Alligator mississippiensis: one gene and its partner. The protein of the gene in region 2 purifies or fractionates together with the protein of the main gene of each other region. This does not show direct contact. Links are inferred from orthologs where the notes say so. Each region holds a gene or a part of one and is shown on either strand. Other genes may lie near its edges.

Region 1 (7,370 bases), on a different chromosome or scaffold from region 2:
TCTGTTGCATGAATAAGAATAAACAGCTGCTGGTTGGCCTGATGAAAAAAGTAGTCCCCACCTGACCAGGTAGATCAAGGGGGCCATGAAGCATCATGGTGGTGGTATCGGCGGACACTGCAGTAGTATGCTGCTGTTACAATCAACTCCAGAAACTCTAAGGATATAGTATGCATTGCAGTTAGGGATCACACGGGCTCTCCAAGCAAGAAGTCTTCCTTGGCCAACTTTATCATCTCAGGGCATTTTATCTTCTCCACTTAGAGCGCTTCCCCACTCAGATCAAAGAGCAGGTACCACCCTCACCTCAAAATAAAATGGCTCCATTACCAAAATCTTCCATAAACAAAAGCACCCAAGAGCCCTGTTCACTGAATGTAAAAAGGGCAATTAAGACATGAGGACACTGGTATTCCCCAAGGAAAATAGCTCAAACCACCGACACCAAACACCCTGTTGGGTATAGGATGGGGAGGGAGGATTATTTCAGTCCTTTGAGAACACAGGACGATTCCTGAGCCGTCACAGGAACAGTTGCCCTGGACATGTGGATTCCTCACTATTTCACGGCTGTAGGGAGATCCACCCGTGTTTCTAAAGCACCCAACGTAACATCCAAGGATAGCAGTAGGGACAACTGGACAATGCAGCTGCACGTTGCAACGTGGCAGTTTCACTGGGAAGAAAACTGGTGTCCTTCGGCTCAACAAGACAAGATTTCCGCTAGGTTGCAGTGAAGCAGGCATCTCAGCTAAGCCCCCTTCCCCGTCTCAAAGACAACCACGCACTGCTATGGAGGGCCAAAATCTCGCTTCACCTCAGCTTCTCCGGCTTCTACTTAAAGGCAGAGTCTACCATGTTTAAGCTTTTAATCGCTTACTTCCTGCTGTTTCCCTTTTTAACCTTTTTCCAAGTTAAAGACAAGAAGAAAAAAAATATATCAGGAGATCCTCAAGGCTGGTTTGCAGAACTAATATAGATCCTACCAGCTGGATCGCTCAGGCTGCCACAGTTGGTTGTTTCGAGGAGCATGCTTGCTTCTTCCATGACCAGCTCTTCTCTCAGTCTAGCTCCTGTCCGAGAACCTCCTCATTAATGGTCCCCACCTTTGGGCGCTTTGCCTGGGAAACTGAACACACTAGCAACCTGTCTGCATGAACATGGAGGGATGTTCACTCCTATCAGCACTTTCACTGCACACTGGTGCTCACAGCAAGCATAAGCATAAGCCTCCCCTTTGAAAAGCTATTCAGTAAGAGTTAGTACAAAAGAGAAAGCACCCATACCAATGCCCCGGGGATATTCCCAGCTTCCCCCATCTGATCTTCAATGCACCCTGCCCCTTAAAGAATCATTTGCCCAGAGGATGTCAATCAGGGCAAGGATTTGATAACTTCCCTGCCAAGTTTGGTTTATTTCAGCATTTTTAATACCATACCTGCTAGGGACCTCACTCCTCTGATGAAACCATAGCAGGAAGCTCTCAGCTATTTTCCTGGAATTTCTAGATAAAGGCGATGAGCTTCGAAGCTCACAAAGGAGACGCACAAGACACTCTGCCTTGCATTAAAAATAAAGAAGGGTCGCAAAAAGTAATAAGGCCTTTTTCCGATTATGATTTTGATACAAAGCAATCTGAAGATGCCTCGAGCTCCGAGACAAGCCGCAGACCCTCAGCACTGGATGCTTCAGAGCAGCGTTTCTCAACCGGTGAGTCGCGACCCAAAAGTGAGTCACAAGAATATACGAAAGGGTCGCGAACAAACTTTAAAAATGGATCAACACACTTTGAAAAGAAAGGAGAAAAACATGGGCAACTGTGGCTTTTCCCTTGCAGGCTGGCAGAGGTCCAGCCTGCGAGGGGCTGCTTGGGACCCCCTTGCCTCACACCCACCCACTGCCCCACACACTGAGGGGCTGGGGGCAGTGGTTTGGGACTGGCCATCGAGGTTTACAAACGGGTCCTGGTACAGAAAAGGTTGAGAACCGCTGCTTTCGAGGTTGCCAGTGCCTCTGCTCTTCACAATCGCCAGATGGGCCTGGAGCATTCATCCTTCAGGGCTGGCGCTCGTTACGTTATCAGCCTCAAAGCTCATCTCATTGCATGCCCTCCAATGCTCGGGGCAGTATTACAGCGAGATCAAGTCAGCAGCACGACCCAAGCACAGATTCATAGATGCGAGGGTCAGAAGAGCCCTCGACAGATCATCGAGTCCAACCCCCTGCCTGGGCTGCAAAACAGCCTCTACCTACACCCGCAACGTCAAGCGAATACCTCTACGGGCTCACCGACCCCTCGGCCTGACGGAGGAGCATCCCCAGCACGGGTCTAAAGAGCCTTCTCCACGCTACCACCACCTGCCGGGGGATGCTAAGCGCCAGGTATCCCTCGGGCAGTGCCGACATCGGTTTCCCATTGGTTTCACAGCTCTCCGGTGAAACTGGAACAGCTGGAAGGAGTCTGGCTCCCGCGCTCCAGCTGTGGCTGCACCTCTGGAACGGCAGGCAGGGCTCCTTCGCCCAGGCCCGAGCCAACGCCGCCCGCGCTGGGGGAGCCCCCGGCTCCTCAATCCCCAGCAACCGGAGGCAGGTTAAGCAAGCGCCCCGGGCGCCGGGAGACGCCCGAAAGGCGAGCGGGCGAAGCACGAGGCTGGCACAGCCCCGGTCCCCCCAAGTCAACCCCAACCCCGCGGGCGCTGGCTTAACCAGCTGCCCCCCTGTTGCAAACAGACCGAGCCGTTATCCCGGGATAACCCACGCCGTCCCGGGGCAAGGTGGGCAGACACCCACACCTCTATCCTGGAGTAAACCCTTGCTGCCCCCTTGGTGGGGGAGGAGAGGGCAGCAGGGGTTAATCCCGGGATAGCCCCACACAGGGGAGGGGAGGGGAGGGGAGGGCAGACCACCCCCCCACAGGGGTACCTTTTTGGGCGCCTTGGTGACCGTGGCCATGAAGTTGAACTTCTCGGCGTCCTCGATCTCCTTGGCCTGCTTCATTTCGTCCCCGCCTGCCGCGTCCGGCATCGACATCCTGGTGCTGCAAGCCGGGCCGAGCCGAGCCGAGCGGAGCCGGGCGCGGGGACTCGAACCCGCGGAGTCGCGGGGCTGGGTGGGGGGGGGCAGCGCAGAACTCGTGCCCACCCGGCCGGACCTCTGCAGGCGGACTGCGGCCGCCGCACGCCGCGGGAGGGGGCGGGGCTAGGCGGGCATACGTCAGCACGCACGGGCCGGCTTAGCGTTGGCACGCATGGGCCGGGCAAGGGACGCGAGGGGGAAGTGCTGGCAAGGGGAGGTGGTGCGGAGCCCGGCTGGCTGGGTGCGACCCCTGGAGGGGAGGAGTGGGGCGTGCAGCAAACTGTGTGCAGAAGGGGCAGCGCTGGTGGGCACTGGACATTCAGGGGCATGCTGGGGCTGGGAGCCCACACTGCTGAGTGTGTCAGACTGGGCAACTATGTGCCAGGAGCGTGGTGTACCTTCGTGGCGTGGGATGGTCCCCGTGCCCCCAGAGATGCCAGTCTAGATGTGCAGGTTGCAGATAAACCCAGCAAAGGCCCGTGCCCAGCATCCTCCCGCCCCGCTTCAGGGTGGCATCTGCAGGAAAGCGGTGGGAGAGGACGGAGAGGATGCATCCAACTCCATCTGGAAAAGGGACACATGGCACCGGCTGTTCAAAGTCCCCCCTGGGAAAGTTAGTGGACAGGAAGAACGAAGGGGACAGCGATGCAATTGGACCTAAAGAAGGCGAGGAGGACAACAACAGGATCAGCAGCAGTAGAAGCGACATTAACAGTGACAAGGATGGGAAATGAACTGAGAAAGGGAACCCCAAATCGGGGCCGGGACTAAGGGACTGTGCTTGGGTTAGGGCAGGGCAGAGGGTGGGTGCACAGGGAAGCGGGTGTAGTTTTTGTAACAGGTGCATGGGTTTCTTAAGGTAGTTTTAAAAAGAAAAGGTGCAGTGGAAGTCTATGATAGAGGATGTGTATACATACCTAAATGTGTGTGTGTGTGTGTGTGTGTGTGTGTATATATATATATATATATATATTAATTTTTTAAAAGATGGGTGGCATCTGCAGGCTCCTTGGACTTGTTCGGGGCACTGGGTGCTGGGCCGTGCCTCTGCTCTGCGTCCCCATTGGGATCCACCTTTGGTCTTCGCTCCCAGCCCAGCAATTCCACGTGTTGTCCCCAGTGATCAGGCCTTGTGGCCTCCCTTTGACTGAGAGGGCGTATAGTTTACAAAGGGCTTGCACTCGCCATCCCTATGTGATTAACAGGCCTGCCCCCATGGCATCCAGCTTGGGATAAGGCGTGGTGGGTGGGTGCGATGCCAGTGCTGGCAAGGGCGCACTTCCCAAGCAGCCCCCAGGTGGCACTGTCACTCCTCGCTGTCCAGCTGTCATGCAGTGCCAGCCAGGCACCAGGGGGAGCGCGGCCCCCAGGGTTAGACCTGGGTGCTCAGGTCGGCTGCAGCTCAGACACCCCTGTGCTGCAGCCTGGGGACAAGGGCAGCCCCAGCCCTGGCCATCCTTGTGCTGGGATGTGGGCTTCTCCCCCCAGGGTCTTGCATCCATGTGATCTTGCTTCTGAGCTGAGCGCTCAGCCCGGTGTCAGTGGCTCTCCTCCTCCAGACCTACGGCAGGCTGCTGAGATTCACAGTCCCTTTGGCCCTCAGCTTCCCTTGCAGTGCTGCTGTTGCTACCCCTCAGTTGCAGCAGCCCTCAGCGTTGCTCTGGGACCTGGGTCAGGTGCTGGGGTTGGGGGTGGTTTTGGAAAAACTTCATCAGTCAGGTTTCAGTTCTGCAAAAGCAAAAACACTACTCAGAGCTCCTACGGTGCAGTGTGAAAGGTCTTCAGTGCTGGGCGATAGGGGACCTAAAGGGCTTCAAGCAGAAGCCAAACCTCTGGGTGTTGCAGGGGGAGAGAGGCCCGAGGCTGCAGAGAAGAATAGGCTGGCGCTGCTGGGCTCTTTAGGGCAGTAGGAAATGTAGCCTGCAATTCACCAGGTCACTAGGGGAGATTGGGGCTGGCTCGTCACTGAAAGCAGGATTCTGGAAGGATTTGAGGCTGATGAACAGCTCCAGAGGAAAGAAAAACCAGTCAATGCATATGATGGGGCTGATCTGGTTTGGTAAACTCCATCTTCCCTTTTAATTCCACTCCATTTTGCCTTGAGTTCCCCCACCACCCTCGCTAAGCTCTTCCTCCCAAGCCGCTCCACCCAGACACACGTAAGTAGGACCCTTAGTAGAGGGAGCAGTGTCTTCTTGGATACTCACTTGGGGCCCCAGAGATGCAGAACTTTCTGTAAAGGAGTTGTTTTTGCTTTGGGTGGTGGAATGAGAGGGCTGTTATGATAAGTCTGCTTCATCACCTGTGCAGCAGGGGTAAAGAGCTGGACGGTCCCCCCAGAGAAAGGTGTGAGGGTTAATGCCTGCAAACGAGCATGCAGATCTCCCAGAAGAAGTAGGAATGTAACAGACACAAGTGCCCAGATGCGTCTTGTACATGGACACATGCACACCCCACACACAACCCACCCTCCACATATTACACATCCTCACAAAAATCTTGTGCATATACACATACGCACACACATGCCTCCCCACATGCACTGCAGACAGGGACAAACACTGGCACGCATCTTGTGCATACACATGCACAAAACCCTTTACACATCCAAACCCTCCCCCACATACACACACAAATGCATCTTGCACAACTACAGCCTCCCCACATGTGCCCTAAGTGCCCACTGACGTGCACACATGCAATAGACACTGCAAATACATGTGTCATCAAACACACTTACTCTACATAGATACACACACGCGCATTATCATATGTGCAAGCACACATGCAGGGCAAATAAAGGAAGTGAGTGCCAGGAGCATGCTCAGTCCTTCATCATCCATCAATAAGTCTGCAGTTAAGTGTTGGTGAGCTGTGTTACATGGACACCTCTAGCAGACCCAATCCCAGTCATGCATGGGCGCATGCACACCACATCTCCACCCCTCACACACACAGGCTCCCTGTACTCTTTCCAATAATCATTGTGTGTCTATACCACCCTCCTTTAAAAACCACCTGTCTTCTTATCTCCATCTACATAAGCCTGTGTGAAGCCGCAGGGGTACTTCAAAGGAAGTTTGCTGAGCTCTGTTCTCAGAACCAGTGCACCACAGACTACCTAGATAGCTATCGCAGGAACTTTGGCAGGAAGGCGCGTACAGCTCGTCACAGACAGCTCCCTCTCTTCTGGGTTATCCTTTGCATCAGGCTTTCTGCCCAGCCTGCCCTGTTCCCCTGCATCTCCAGGGTCTTACAGGATCCTCACAATATTGGTATAGCCAACTCTGATGAGTGACACACTCTCTGGAGTTTTCATTAAAGCTCCAGCTCCTGGAGTCATGGGATGATATTTTATTGTTTTTTAGGAACTTACTCGCTTTTTGCTTGCAGAGAAGGGTCGCACAATAGGACCCTCAATGCTCAGAAATCAGAAAACCCATGAAAAGAGTCCCCAGTCTCTTGTTTAAAACCGTCGTGAATTTTCAGCCAATCCCATGATTTTCTGTTTGTTTAGAGGGGGAAGGGGAGAGGAAGGCTGACTCACCACTGGTGCACATTTGCAGCTGGAAACACTGCTCAATGGAAAGTCCCTTTTGCAGCTGAAACAAAAGGCCTCTCTCCTGGTCTCTTCTTGGGGGGAGAGAGAGCAGCACTCTACCAAATGTAAGTGCACAGGAGTCACCAGAGCTGTGGTCCATCTAACTCTCCCTCCTCCTTCAAGTGGCTGCTGCTTCAGATGAAGGGGCAAGAACCCCCCTTGGCAGTCAGTTGGTGGAGTAACCAGCAGTGGAAGCTATTTCCCGACTCCCTACTAAAGCCAACAGAGCTACCTCTAGAGCCCAGCCCAAGAGGTAATGGAAAGGGATGCACAGGGCCCCTACAAGTGGTGCACAGTAAAGTGATCCCTGCCTTTACAGGTGCTGCCATCCCTTAGCCCACTTCTCTTTCTCCCTTTTTCAGGAGTGAAAGCAAGACGGAGTGGTCTGGAGAAGGGGTGGGGGGGAAGCAGAGAGAGAGCAAGCAGGTGAACTGGAGAGAGGGAGAACATCAAAACTCTGGGGGCGATGGGAAAAGGCACAGAGCAATAACCATGAGGGTCAGGGCACACCGGCTTCAGCCATGCCACGGGCGTGAGAGCTGCCATGACAAATGGGGTTAATGCCATCAGGCCTGGTTCACACCCTGGTTGCGAGGCACCAGCAGGGAACTGGCAGAAGTGCAGCTGCCTGAATCCCTTTTGTTGGCTGGAGCTGGGAGGGGCTGCCGAGGTCTTCCAAATATTCCTGGCAAAG
Region 2 (7,732 bases):
CCTGCATGCTCCCCCAAGTGCCATTCCAATCCCCTTCCCCTGTCCAGTCTGCTGCTCTGCTTCCTGCTCCCATCCAGTTTGCTGCTCCGCTTCCCACCCTATCTGCCACTGTGCCACAGAGGCTGCCATGCCACTCATGGCATTCCTGCTGCAGGTTGACCACTCCTGTTTTACAGGACGCTGTTTTCCCCATGATTGTGGTACTGCACAAGAATTGCTGAATGCTGCTTTCTAGTTGCAAGGCAAACCCTGGGGCACCTCTGAGGTGCCCCAAATCAATACAAGATAAATACACTTTATTGGAACAAACGAGATTAACACTGTGAGATATCTTAGCTTAAGTATCAAAGCAAGAAATGACCAAATGTAGCATCTGTACTTAAAATATTTGGACTCCCTATGAAAGGAAAATAGGAGATAAGAGTAGTAACTTTTTTTTGCAACTGCAATCAAGATGAGAAATTAAGATACTATTTATTTCAAGATTTTTATTCATGGTTTTACCTTCTACACTCATATCACAAAAGATCTGTAACGCAGATCATATGCACCGAAGCTCAGAACCACTTCCTTCCAATGCACAGCAATACACTTCTCATGCAAAGTTCACTGGCAACATTAATTTCATGCCAATATTTCACTTAAGTCCTAAATCAAGTTTAGTTTGTTTTCAAATTAAAATGCAGGAGACTATAATACACTCCCTCCACTTGTTCACAAAGTCTAACCAAAGAAACATAGCTAAGTAGAGACTTGTCACAATGAAAAGAAGCTTCCAAAAAGTCTTGCATTTCTTATGTAATCCCAGCATTCTGCTTTGAAATCTTGTATCCAACATGCTACATTTGCCTTGCATGCTTTACAGCTTCATATTCATAAGATATCTGCATCTTATCAGTAGAGTCGCTGTTCCCAATATATCACTCATTCCAATATAGCCAACTAATAGTACTCATCTTCTCTCCAAATTTCTTCAGAAGAAAAAAACAGCAAGCAGCCGTTCATGCACAGTTGCACATCCCTCTCACAGCACACCTTAATGCTCCAATTACCTAAGAGTGCAAAACAGAGTAAGGCAAGGACTCAGATTTCCTTTGTCATCTTAGGGGTAGGGCAATAACCCAGGTGGTAACTGACAGAAGTGAATAAACAGGCATGCAGTTTACACACGCACACAGATGAGGAAGTTAGTCATATGGGGCAAAGCAAATTTTTAAGAAGGTGGGGGGAGTAAGACAGAAAGAGAAGGAAAAGAAAAAAAAAATGAAGAAAAGTGGAGCACAAGATTCACTTAGCTATAAGCTATTTTCACTCATTTACTTTCTAAGCAAATATCCAGTGACTACGTCTGAAGCAAACCAAATCCAATCTATGCTATAAGAGACACAAATAAATGACAGGCAGGCGCGACATTCTTTCGGCTGCTACTTGAGTAAAGGATGAGTTTGGGAGTTTTCTTCTAAGAGCACAACTACTTTATGTTCAGCAAGGACATGTGTAATTGCTCATGGCTGTTAGAAGTAATCCCAGCTCCCTCATAGACTTACCACAGACACCTACTCTGCTTAATTCTGGAGGTCCAGCATTGTGCTGTGAAATATGAACAGGATCAGCAGATTCTTTTTTTAAAAAAGAGAAAAATATTTGTCTGAACAAGAGGCAGACCGCTATATGATTACTACGTCCACAACACTGACTCTTCCCCACAGGAAAAGAATATAAGGAATTGTAAAAAGCACATTGCAGTCAGTTCTGACACGTAACATTTTTTTCTTACTCGACTGTAGAAGAGAAGAACATTGTTCCTTAAAGCTACAAAAGGTAATAGATATTTTCGTAGTCCTTTGCCAGCTCAGTATATAGGATGTCAGCCATTACAACTGACGCACAGGAATTTACTTCATGATATGTCACTTTACAGAGCGCCACTTTATCTTATGCCCACAGCAGGTTTATTGAGAGGCTGTTTCTAGAGATATGAAGAAACTTGAGCTCAAGATTAAAAAGAAAATTGTGGGCAAGTTTATGTTGGCCAGGACGTTAGCTAATAATACGACTTTGTTGAAAGGGGAGTTCAGTGGGCTTTAACGGAAAGATGTAAAAAGTACATATAAATCAAAGTAAACAAGATGAGCAAGGTCTGGAAAGGACAGACGACACGGCAAGTGGAGGAACAGACACATTCTCGTTTTCCCGAACACTGGGCTTTTCGGAATTGATCCGGAGCTACAACTTGCAACTATTTGTGCACCAAGCTAAGTATCAGCCATGTCCGATACCATGAACACAAGAGCAGGAGTTGACAATACAAAGTCCGCAGTATCAAGGGTAACAACGAAAGGCAAAAGCATTTTCCAGCCAGCTGCCCAACGCTTGGTTTCTGGTGACTGCTCCACTCCATGGTACCAGCCGCCTAAAGATGCCAAACTGCACCTTCAGCCTCTTGGAGGGCCTCAAAGAGATGCCAAACCGTCATTCCTGGGCTCCCAATTTTAACATTGGGCAGCCCCAGTTCACCAACAGCAAAACCCCCGAAGCCGTGCAGCTGGACTAGCGCAGGCTGCGCAGTGGCACGGCAGTGGTCTGGCGCCTGGCAGATGCTGACGTCCTGCTGCTTTACCGCGACAAAAAAGCTCCCCCGCCTCTCTCCCCCCAAGGACCGTTTCCTTCCAGCCTGGTGCCGCGCCGGCACCTAACGGGCACGTCCGACGGTCGCGGCGCCGCGGATCCATCGGACGCAGCCTCCCGCCGGCACCCCGCGCCAGCCCGGGGTGCCGCGATGCCAGCGGCCGCAGGCACGGGAACCCCGCGCCAGTGCCCGGCCCGGCCCGCGCTTACCGAGTGGTTGACCCCCCACATGAGGACGCTGAGCAGCGGGTCGCTGGCCCGGAACAGCTTCACTTTTTGCGCCACGAAGTGCTTCTTCTTCGTCTTGGTCTTGCTCGCCATGACGGACACGATGTTGCCAGGGGCCGCCATGGCGCGACCGGCCGAGGGGGCGGCGGGGCGCCCGAGGGCGGCGGGGCGCGCGAGGGCGGCGGCGCGGGGGCGGCGGGCCAGGCCGGGCGGGGCCGGGCAGGGCTGGGCTGGGCTGGCTACCGCGCGACACCAGGCGCATCCTGGCCCGGCCGCCCGCGCCGCCCACTGAGCTGGCCCCGCCCCCCGGCTCCCCCCGCGCCCTGCGTCACGGCGCCCCGCCCCCTCGCCTGCTTTTGTTCTCAGCACGCATGCGCTCTACTGCCGCGCAGGCGCGCTAGGAGCGCTCCGGGGTTGCGGGCGCACAGTCTTTTTAGTGTTTCGTTTTGCCCCCTGTAAAGTTGGTGCTAGCAAGCGTAGCCCCTTTGAGGGGTTGTAGGCGCGTTGGTCTAAGGACACAGACAGGCAAGGCTCTTGGGTCAAGTTGGCATCATTTATTAGACCAACTTAAATCGATGGGGAAAAGAATTTTCTATGGAAAAAAAGGAATGTGAGTTGGTCTAATGGAAGATATCGGATCGACCCAAAAGAGTCTTGCAGGGCGGAGGGAGGAGAAGCGGCACTTGTTTCTGTAGCGTGAAATCCCAGCAACTGCCTGAGCAACCAGAGAAGAGGAACTGGTGAAACTTGCCAAGGGGCTCACACAAGGCCCCGCAGCCATGAGCTGCTGGGTTGCTTTAATAAAAAAGCTCAGATTGGCCCCAAGAACTTTGTCTGCCCATCATTTTTGATGCAACATACAGGTTTCCCTCACCAACCACAGTTTTGACTATCCACGCTTAATACACTATGCACCATTTTGGCTACCAGGGTATACGGTTTTCCATGGCTGCACATCAGCCTGCCACCTGCCATTTTTCTCATAAACCTTTTGTCTTGCCACCCAGGGTTTTGCCAACCAGGGGAACTTTGAGGAACCTAACCACAGCAGTTGGCAAGGGAAACCTGTACGCAAAACTCAAGTTACTTTCAGGGAGCCTTAACAGACTTTCGGGTTTGCTGTCAGCACTTTCCTAAAACTGCTTGCCTCAAAATAAAAGATCTGCTTCAACTTTGATGACCAAGTTCTCACTCACTCAATGGCAAGTTACAATGAGCAATATAAAGTCAGTCAAAAGAAGACTTATTTGCATACCTATTTGCACATTTTTTCAGTGTACAGTAGTTTTCCCCAAAATACAATAATTTTGAGCTTCCAATACAATAATTTCATATTTAAGCCCTGGCAATGCTGCTGCACTTCTCAAGCTCCACTGGGGAGTGGAGCAACCTGTGCTCTCCTCGTTTGTAGCCAGGCAGCAGCCAAGGCATGAAGTTCTTTGCCCAGCAGAGCCACACCTCCCTCTTTGCTGCCCACCAGCCCAGGCAGGCAGCGAGGTGCTGGTGCATCCCAGAGGCACTTCCCTCTGTCCTACGCCTTCCCCTGCCTGTAATAAGGAACTGCATTGCTGCTTTTGGGGGCACCTCCATCACCCGTCACGGAACTCCCTCTCACTAGTTGCTATTGGCTCAGTTGCTGCATAGCACAGCAGCCCAACTCACCCAGCAGTTCATGGCTGCAGGGACTTTTGCTACCCCCTTGGCAAGTTTTACCAGTTCCTCTTCTCTTGTTCCTCAGGAGGTTGCTGGGATTTCACGCTACAGAAACAAATTCTGCTTCCTCTCCCACTGCCCTGCAAGCAGTGACTGGAAGGCTTCCTGCCGCCTGCATCTGGGGAGGTGGAAGGAGCAAGAGCAGGGGTCTTCCCAGTCCCTTTTCTACTGTTCTTGTTTTCGGACTGAAATGTCACCCAGGAACATACACAGCTGTTCAGAGCAGTGGATCCTTTTTCTTCAAACCAGATTTGCCAAACTGTGCCTCAAGTTACTGCTGCAAATGAAGCCACCAAGTTGTCACCCCTTTTGAAAACAGCGCCCACAGATCCCTAAATATAGATTTAAAGCCAGATTTTCAGAATTGCTCAGCACCTACTCTCCTCTAGGCAGGCCCTCAAGCCATGCTTATCACCACAGTATTTGAGCATCTTCCAGCAATACATTAAGCACTGTGATGAATATCTGTCATATTTACTCTGATCCTCTTCCCAGAGGGGAAACCTGAGTCGGGGAGTGTTTTGGATGTTTCATCATCACACATACACAGCTATGTTTATGATAGAGAAAGCAAGGTCAAAGAAATACACTTTGCACTAAGAGAATGGCAGTGACAACATTTGCAATGGTCTTTAGTTCTAGTGGGACTTCCACTATCTGGATTCAGCCCCTGAGAAAGCTTCCTTTCTGGCATAAGTGAGATTTACTCTTAATGTAATGTAACCATAACTGTAAAAAGTTCCATTTGATCAGAGGAGCAAAGTTACTGACTATGATCTTCATTGATGCCCTGAAGATAACAAAGTCCTTGAACATGATTCAATATTCTGCAAGAAGATAATAAAGGAAATAGAGGACAAGTTTAATGTGTTCCTGGGAGCCCATGTTGCAAGGAGACATGTTGCAGTGTTATGTACAGCTAGAATCGCCTCAATCATGAGGGCTTCATATCCAGCTACACTGGGTTGTTATAGTCCAACTAAAAGGTGACAAATATATGAATCAGGCCGGGTCATCATTCACCAGTTATCTAGTCAAGAGATGACAGAAAATATTTCTTGTAGAACTTACTTGAGTTTAGTATCATCCAAGAAGCTGGGAGCATATCAAACTGACTATCTACAAAGGAGCCTGCACTGTGTTGTAGATGCAAAGGCTTTCCTCTACTTGTCAGCATCACTTCTGTCCTGATCAGGTTAAGCATCTACCAGCTGGTTCTTTGGTTCCTATTTAAGACTGGGCTATTTGGAGATAAGGTATGGTCATACATAATGATGGAGAGATAAAGGTGTATTTCATTTGCTTATAACTTTCACCTGAAGCCACATTCACCTAACCAGTTAATCTAGTGGCTACATAGAGATGTTAAATAGGACCAAGAGAAAGTGATGTCTGTGGACTCTATAAGTAAGGAGTAGGGTTGGTTCAGTTTCTCCATTGCTACTCATTGGGTGTAGCCTCCAGAAAGAACTAGTTCTGTTATCACATTTACTTAGACCTCTCTCACCCTTCTCAAATGACACAACAGCACCTTCTGGCAGACCACACTGAATACACAAGTATCTGCCCGCTATCCACTGATAGTTGGACATCACCCATCAATGCCACTAGAGCAGGTAGTTGGATATCCTGGCCTAAATCCAAATTGTGCTAGGTCTAGAACATTTATTTTAAGCTGAGCTTGCAGTTAGCCTTTGGACCAGTTTTACTGTGACCTTGCTGAGGAGCCAAAGGCTTACCACCAGGACAAGAATAAATCTATCCAGGGTTGGCCATTATGTTTGAAAAAGAACTGGAAAATTCCTTCCTGAAATGAGGCATTTGTCATTTTAGTCATGAGTATTATGGTGCATAAGCTAGGAAGGCCGTATCTCAGGTTCACAAGTGTTGGGCTGAGGTTCCTTTAGGGTGTCCAAACCTTTTTTGATGAACCAACATGCTCAACTCTAGGAATGTGGGTAGGTTGTGAGTTGGTTGTGCAGATCATGCAGATCAATGTTATTTGAAAAGCATTCCCAAGGGAGAGAACTTTTCAGCAAAGTAAGCTTACAATCTTTTTACAGCATATAGATCTTGGTTCAGATATCAGTTGTAGGCGCTCAGGATTGATAAAGCAGTTATTATCCTCAATAGTTCCTTGGTGAGGGATATGAATGCTCCAGAAGAGACTAACATGAACATTCTCTTGGCCCCTAAAGCAGTCTCAGCATAGGCTTGAAGGAATTAGTCCTGTTTCATCCTGTATCAGTCTTTGTTTTCTGCAGTTGGGGCCCAGAGTTTCCACTTTTCTCTCCATCTGGCACAGGAAGTTCTCAATGGGAGCTCTTGTTCACTTGCTTCTTTCTCCACATCAGTACTGGACTAATGTCTTGCTGTCCTTGGCTGACCTCAGCAGTGGTTAATGGAGACAGAAACAGGATTTACCAGCCAAAAGTCAGTCTAGGGTTAATCATGACTGACCAACCTGCTTTTAAACAAGACCCTGCCCTATTGAAACTTGTTGCTAAATTATGTTCAGTATCCTGTTAAAACATATTAGCAGGTTTTCTACACACCACATTTGTCTCTGTATGTATGTGCCCTAAGATTGAAACTAATTGCCATTCAGTACATTGTGTTAGCGAGTTAAAGGACTGTACTTTGAAGAAGAGGGTATACAGAGTTCATAAGCAAGGCTTTGCTTGGCTACTGGAAGGTAATATTTCCCTTTGCAATTATCTTCTGCAGCTGCAAAGAACAGAAGACCCACAGAATTTCCCTGGGCCAAGTGCCACAGACACCAGTTTCAGCTACAGGCTTATAAATTGTTCCATTACTCTATAAATTGGTCTAGGCACATGTCACTTTTAATGAAACTCGAATACTTTAAGTCTTGTCTGAAATTCTAATTTTATTTTTTTGGACAAACATTGTAAGACCTGGTGAAAACACGAGGTATCTTAAGCATCTTAGTCTTGTAAAGAAAGGATAATAAAACCTGTGACGTCATGCATCAATTAAAAAATGTATATTTTTTAAGGGAGACAGAACTGGGTGTTTTGTAAACAGCATCTCTGTTCTTTTTATGTTATAAAGAAACATGGTTATCTTAACTGTTTTACAAATAACTGCAGAATTCTTAATCCAATCTTTTAGAAAGTTATGAAAAGGTATGTAATCAGCA

What was found.
Region 1: the proteins of PIP4K2A (region 2) and AHCYL1 purify together in Homo sapiens (co-immunoprecipitation; 3 studies listed by BioGRID and IntAct, counting the BioPlex papers as one, with this or other methods). This does not show direct contact. The link is inferred for Alligator mississippiensis from reciprocal best matches to the Homo sapiens genes PIP4K2A and AHCYL1.

Annotation. Positions count from the first base shown.
Region 1 is NC_081837.1:34,573,269-34,580,638, reverse strand, and holds the start of AHCYL1 (S-adenosylhomocysteine hydrolase-like protein 1), read right to left. Parts: upstream 3,172-7,370; 5' UTR 3,031-3,171; coding exon 2,923-3,030; intron 1-2,922. UniProt on the Homo sapiens protein: Multifaceted cellular regulator which coordinates several essential cellular functions including regulation of epithelial HCO3(-) and fluid secretion, mRNA processing and DNA replication.
Region 2 is NC_081828.1:186,242,595-186,250,326, forward strand, and holds the start of PIP4K2A (phosphatidylinositol 5-phosphate 4-kinase type-2 alpha), read right to left. Parts: upstream 3,120-7,732; 5' UTR 2,980-3,119; coding exon 2,839-2,979; intron 1-2,838. UniProt on the Homo sapiens protein: Catalyzes the phosphorylation of phosphatidylinositol 5-phosphate (PtdIns5P) on the fourth hydroxyl of the myo-inositol ring, to form phosphatidylinositol 4,5-bisphosphate (PtdIns(4,5)P2). Has both ATP- and GTP-dependent kinase activities.